2 linked regions of the Oryctolagus cuniculus genome follow. The protein of the gene in region 1 interacts with the protein of each later gene in a pairwise test. Links are inferred from orthologs where the notes say so. Each region holds a gene or a part of one and is shown on either strand. Other genes may lie near its edges.

Region 1 (3,653 bases):
GGACCTGGACTATTCTGTCACTCATTAGGTCACCACGTACAATTTACTACTACAGGTAACGTATTACCTAACTGCTGTGAAACTTGGTGAAAGCTTCAAATAAAAGGGAAATTTCATCCTTACAGGAGAAACTGAGAGACTTTCTCACTTGATTAGAAAGATAGTGTCTGGGATTTTATGGTAACTTCTATCAGGTGAAATACCAATTCCTGCTTAGGACTATCAATACCTCTAAGTATTTTCTCATAATATGTACAAGCAACATAACTTTAAGGAATTCTTAGACATACATACCATTGTTAAAACAGAATTATATGCAGAAAATTATCCTTAAAAATCCTGTCTAGCATCAGAATTGAAAGGCTACCTAGCCCGAAAGCAGTAGTGCTCACTCTATCCGTCTCCTGAATCCGAAACTGGCAGCTCACTGCACAGCCACCCCCAGACATCAAGGGACTTCACAGCAGAGTTTTACCTGTCCACTGCAGAGAAGAGCTCTGATAGCCGAATTAAACAAGAACTGATGAGCAACCGGCTGATCTCATAGAAAATTATATAAAAGGAGTGAAGGAGGGGGAAAGGGAGCGGGGTGGAGCCATGCAATAGATTTATTTATGACCTCACATACCTGGCATCAAGGAACCTTGATCTTAAAATCATAACGGCTTCACAAGTGCTTTGTTTGAGCTGCATCTGAATAGAACTAAATTTTCGATGGATGATGCCCACCATTCTTTCAATCTCTTTTGGGGAAATGGGACGTGTTCTACTCTGTTCTCGTAGAAGGTTCATCACATGTGTAGTGAATTCATTACATGCCTGTAATGGGGAAAAAAAAATCATTCCTTAGCAATCTGATATTTTATATCATCACACTCAGACATGAACTCATCTGACTTTCCACTTCATTTACAATCACCAATGGCATTATGCAGGGCAGGGTAAAATGAAAGCTAGGACACTTGTGAAATGGTGGTGAGGTAGGTGGGGCACCAATTCTGAAACTATGAATGGTCAGACATGCAAGGGAGACACAGCATTCAAGTGCCCTTCCTACCACCTTTGTCCCAGTTCCAAAATAAAGTTTTCCCATTAGAGGATGCTCTCTACCAACTCCTATGTCTAAGTAATAATATATGTTAACTATGTACTAAACATCTTCTATTTTCTCTGTGGTTTTACATTTTTCAACAAATGTTTACTTAGGACTAAGTAGTTCAAACTCTTACAAGTGTTGTAAGGGATACAGAGATGAGCAAGGTGTAGACCTGGCCTTTAGTGAGATAAAATACATAAAAAACTAACTCTCACAAAGCAAGCAGTGCAAAGTCTACCAGGAAGTTATTAAGAAGTGCTTTGTAATTTCCAAGGAGAGGGTAGTCTCATATGGAGGCTTCACGGTGAAAGCGGTATCTGGGCTTTGAAGAATGGGTAGGACTTTTAAAAGGGAGACGAAGATGGAAGTCAAAAGAAATTCTAGGCATAAGAAAAACTCTACAAAGAGTATGTGGCAAGATGGGAGAATGGCTAATAGGAAAAGAGCATGTAGAGAACTGGGGACTTGGGTTTGGATTAGCACATAAAGGGCCTTGTACGCACACCACTGGGTAGCTGTGGTATAGGCCCAGACTCACGTCACCCTGTAAACAGCTCAGCTCTTCAGGGGAGGGACTGCAGGAAAACAGGGATCAGATCTGGGTCTCAAATATTCTAGTTAACAATCTCAGATACTGTCCATTTAAGTTCACCTATAGTCTTTCAGTCTACAAAACCACATTAACTGGGCCTCCATTGAAATCCCATACTGCCTTAGGAAATAAAGTATCAGTATATACATCTGAAGAAAAAGAACATTTTCTGGCATTTTCGTTAAAAAGGCAGGATGAAAAAGTCTGTATCCTACTGAACTCATGGCCTGGCAGGGTGAGCAGACAGAACAATCATTGATCAATGCAAGACATATTTTGAAGCTATAATAATGTCCACTCCCATATAGATAACCTGGCATGGTTCACATAAAGCACATTATGGTTTTCCTAACTGCTCATTAGAGAACTAACCACCAAGTATATTGAATGTTTCACATATTCTAAGCTTTTCTATAAATATTTCTAAGGTGAGGTAAAGTTAGTCTTGCTTACTGTTAGTCTTTTAAAGTCTTCAGAAATTCTAAGTCCCTTCTGAGTAATGACCTTATGGTATATACTTCTGGTATTCCTCTGCTTAGGGCATACAATAACCATCTGCAGATTTACACTGTCAGTGCTAGAGTAAGTGTGGTTAATATCCACAGGTCCAGGGATAGGCTTAGACCATCTGCAATCCTTGAAATCCTATGCAAGCTGTGTGCACCTGTATATTTCCTGGAGGAGAATCTGTGGAGTTTTCTTTGCTTTCAGATTCTCAAACAGTTTATAACTAAAAAAATGTTAATAATTATTGTCTTAGGTTATGATACAGTACAATATTAAACAGACTAAAACTAGTTCTTCTGTCTTTAAGAAAACCAAAAATTTTTGAAATAAATTTAAGATCTTCCCCTACTGTATTATCAATTTCAACTGTTTATGCCAAGCTGGAAATAAGTGGTCACTCTGTCAAGAAATACATGTATACATTTTTTATCTTGAATTTCTCTAAGGAGATATTTACAGAATTTCCAAATTATATAACTAGACACACTCTAGTCTTCAGTTTTCTCATCAGTAAAATGAAGAAAATTGATTAATAACTTTTCTCAAACTAGGATTAGCAAATTTTATAGTTCTATAGCTAGATCCATAAAATACACATTTTTGAATTTATTTATTGGGACTGGCACTGTGGTATAGTAGGCTGAATCTCTACCTGTGGTGCCGGCATCCCGAATCGCTGCTGCTTCATGTGCCAGCTGTTCCTCTTCCAATCCAACTCTCTGCTACAGCCTGGGAGAGCAGTAGAAGATGGCCCAAGTTCTTGGGCCCCTGCACCCATGTGGGAGACCTGGAAGAAGCTCCTGGCTCCTGGCTTTAGATTGGTCCAGCTCTGGTTGTTGCAGCCATTTGGAGAGTGAACCAGTAAGACCTTTCTCTCTGTCTCTCCCTCTCTCTCTGTAACTCTACTTCTCAAATAAATAAAAAAATCTCAAAAAAAGAGTTATTTATTATCTATTTGAAAGGCAGACAGAGAGATCTTCTACCCCTGGTTCACTCTCTAAATGGTTACAACAGCCAACTCTGGCCAGGCTGAAGCCAGGGCCCAAGAACTCCATCCTGGTCTCCCAAGTGGGTGCAGGGGCCCAAGCACTTGGGCCATCTTTCACTGCCTCACCAGCACATGAGCATGGAGCTGAATGGAAGCAGAGTCCCGGCCCTGAATTAGCATTCTGATATAGGCTGCTGGCTCTGCAAGAGACAGCTTAACCTGCACCACGGCACTGGCCCCTGGATCCACAGAATATTAACAGATGTTCCAAAAATACAGCATGGGGCCAGTGCTATGGTGTAACAGGTTCAGCTGCCGCCTGTAGTGCTGGCATCCAGTTCGAGTACTGGCTGTTCTACTTCCAATGCAGCTACCTGCTAATGTGCCTGAGAAAGCAGCACAAGATGGCCCAAGTCCTTGGACCCTGCCACACACATGGGAGACCTGGATGAAGATCCTGGGCCCTGGCT
Region 2 (3,653 bases), on another chromosome or scaffold:
AAAAGACTAGAAATGATATTGAAGAATATTTAAACATTAGTGAGGCATGTGCACTAACCAATTAGAAAGAATATGGCCATTGAAAGATCATGGAGTCACTACTTGTCCATGTAATAACCCTTTAGTTGCTGGGCTCTTAGGAGATTCAGGAATGTCCCAGAAGAAGGGTCAAAATAGGATGGTGGGTGTCAAAATATTTGGTGAGATGAAATCAATTTTGGCAATGACTGTAAATTATCTAATATTGAAGCATCAGCAGGCCTACAAGTAGAACATGCTGGCCTGATACTAGAAGAACTTGGTGCCCAACATTAGGCATAGACTGATTCATTTATACATTTTTATAGGGAAGTTGGACATTTGGAAAGAAAAGCTTAAGCCTCTATATGTAGCCTAAATAAGGACCCTTGACTTTTATCACATAACCAAGAATTGGGAATATTTTTGTTATTAATGAGAAATTAAGTCAAAGATGCAGGAACACACTATCTCAGAAACCTAAGGACTTTCAAGAATCTAAATTGCAAGTCTCAGTGTGGTTAAGGTATTGCATCATTACTGCTTCATTACTATCAGTTAGACACAAAGTATAATTCATTATTTCCAATATCCCCCACTAGTATCTGGTAAAACAGATATCATTAGTAGCATTTTACAAAAATTCTGATATATTAACTATTTTGACCAAGACTATACAGCTATCAAGCAAGCCAGACATATGCCCATGCATGACAATATGTGCATGATTGTAACCACTGAATTCTACTCCTTCCTTGGCTTTATTAAACTGAACTGGGTGCCACCTGCCCATGGGCTGGCTTAAAGGCCAGGCATTTTCAATGAATTTTGCTGCTGATAATATTTGTGTTGATATTTCTCCTCTCATCTTTTATAAATAAAGTACATATGTATTTTCCGCTAACATCTGACCTAATTCTGCTGAATATATTGCTATTATACTCGACAGCAACATACAAAGGTACTTTAAAAAGTCCATTGAAGGGCCAGCATTGTAGCATACGTGATGTTGGCATCCCATATGAGAACTGACTGCTCCACTTCCGATCCAGCTCTCTGCTAATTTTCCTGGGCATGCAGGCGAAGATGGCCTTGGTGCAGTGCCTGAGGCCCTGACACCCATGTGGGAGAACCAGATGGAGTTCCACTGAGTCAGCCCTGGCTGTTGTGGGTACTGGGGCATGAACCAGTGGATGGATCTCTCTCTCTCTCTCTCTCTCTCTCTCTCCTTCCCTCCCTCTATCCCTCTCCTGGATTTCAAATAAATAAGTCAATTAAAAAATTCAGTGGAAAGTTACAATGAGACTGGTGTTGTGGGCAAAGCCACTGCCATATATGCAATGGTTCAAGTCCCAGTTGCTCCACTTCTGATCCAGCTACCTGGGAAAGCAGTGGAAGATGGCATAAGTGCCTGGGCTCTTGAATCTACATGACACGCCCAGAAGAAGCTCCTGGTTTCTGGCTTCGGTTGGCCCAGCCCTGGCCATTGTGGCCATTTGGGGAGTGAACCAGCAGATGGAAGATCTCTTTGTTCCTCCCCCTCTCTATCTATAACTCTGCCTTCAAATGAATAAAATCTTTAAAAAATTTTAAATATCCACATTATGAGAAGACTATGTATGGATTTCAGATCTTTTTATACCAAATATTCTATTTTCCATGAACTATTTGATGTACCCTGTGGATAAAGACTGACTAAAGGTCTGAGTTAAGTTTCTAAACAACAAAATGGGGTCAGAATCTAGGGGAGGTTCTTCATGAACTTCACTAAAGCACTACCTACTATGGACTAGAATTCATGCTACACTGGGCCATTCTGAAACAGTCTCAGAGAATGAATGACCACAGGTATGAAAGAAAGGCTCCATATATTACATATATTACACAGGAATACAGGAAGTAAGATGATCCAATTTAATGTTATCATAATTAAGCATTGTATTGATTGAAAATTCATTTTTAAAAACTCATCAATTCTTCATTAAGTCAGGAGTTAATTATACACATAAAACATGACCTTTTCCTAAGTATTTTAGAGAACAATATATATATAACTAATTGTGTCCTGAAAAAGTGTGTGTGTATATACATATATACATATTTGTGTATATATTTGTATACCTATCTGTATATTTAAATGGCTGAAGCAGAAATAAATGGAAAATTTCAAGATATATGTTACAGCATTCATCTTCCAAATGTAAATGTTCAGCTGTTTAGTACTTATAATGCAATTCATTCGTTGTATGAAATGAAATAATTTTTGAGTAAAAGTCATCTAAGTCATAAAGGAGTAACAGAATGATTTCTTAGTTAATACAAGCATTTCCCAAGGTGGCATCCTGACATCCCACAAGGCAACTATGCAGCATTACAGTGGCCCCTGTGTTCAGACCTATTCTTTCCCAGCAGAGTCAACAGACAGACAGAACAGGGACTTGGGTATGGCAGAATAAAATGAGATGTTTATAAGTTTCTCACATTTTTTCCAACATACATCAAATAAAAAGTTCTTACCAGCAAGTTCCAGTTGGCATTAATTTGAGTCACCATGCCAGACAGGAATACGCCCAGAAAGAGGAGGGAGAAAAAAAAGGCTGCCACAGACACAAACATGACCCATCCTTGTAGCAGAGGTAGAGGAACGTTGGAGGAGGCAACCAAAATCCAGACGAGGCCCCCAAACAGCTGAAAGAGAAAAAGAAAGAGGGTAACAGGTTTGCTTCGATAATATATTTTATACAACTGAATTAAACACCTTCCCCCCTTTTTTCCCCCTTAGACCCCTGCAACCCCATCCTTTAACCTTTTTCTTTCATATGGCAGATGCCTTCTTTCCTCTGGTCCAAGACCAGATCTTCTATTTGAAGACCTGATGACTCCATACCTGTATCTCTTCCTCAGCCTCCAACAGGTCCAGAACTCTTGTTATTTAAAAATATCTTTTGACATAGGATAAGTCAGCTAGAAAGATAAAGTTCATGAGGAGAAGCCACACCTCCCCCACTCTGTGTAATCATATCCACCCACCTGTCAATCAAACGACCTCTTCACCAGGAAGTAGTTACCTTAATTGGGACCTAGGGCAGTACCATGTAAACACTTCTGTTTCTAAGCTCATAAGAAATTGGGTGAAGCGAAAGCTCCCTCCTTGTAGCCCCAGAGCGAAAGTCCCTCTTTACCTTTCCTGGCCAACTCTCCCAAAATAAAGCCCATAAATGCCTGTGTATTTTCCTCACTTGGTAAATAAACATTGTTGCATTGCACGTCTGTTTGTGCCTGTATTTATAATTCTTTTCTAAGTAAAAGGCAACAATCTGCAATACATTTGTAGGCCCAACGTAGCCCACAACACTTTTGACTCCACTGCCTCTCCGACTATCACTATGTTGACGCATTTTCCTTTTCATTCAGCCATTTTTACAAATTCATCTTAACATGGTCTCTATTTCCTCCCTTCATGGCTGCTCTTCAAACCAAGATAAATTGGCTTCTGTTCTCACTACTACTTAGACAATTTATCAGTAAAGTATGGCTGTAACTTCCTAATTTGTGACATCTAAGGATTACTAAATCATGATTTATTTGCACATTTAATATTACTGTCTATGTACAGAATAAAAAGTTGCAGTTGT

The links. The genes of interacting proteins can lie anywhere in the genome.
Region 2: the proteins of PBX3 (region 1) and MAL2 interact in a two-hybrid assay, tested with the Homo sapiens proteins (2 studies listed by BioGRID). The two-hybrid records come from large-scale screens. The link is inferred for Oryctolagus cuniculus from reciprocal best matches to the Homo sapiens genes PBX3 and MAL2.

Annotation. Positions count from the first base shown.
Region 1 is NC_091432.1:229,673,121-229,676,773, reverse strand, and holds part of PBX3 (pre-B-cell leukemia transcription factor 3), read right to left. Parts: intron 820-3,653; coding exon 629-819; intron 1-628. UniProt on the Homo sapiens protein: Transcriptional activator that binds the sequence 5'-ATCAATCAA-3'.
Region 2 is NC_091437.1:145,023,469-145,027,121, reverse strand, and holds part of MAL2 (protein MAL2), read right to left. Parts: intron 2,707-3,653; coding exon 2,536-2,706; intron 1-2,535. UniProt on the Homo sapiens protein: Member of the machinery of polarized transport. Required for the indirect transcytotic route at the step of the egress of the transcytosing cargo from perinuclear endosomes in order for it to travel to the apical surface via a raft-dependent pathway.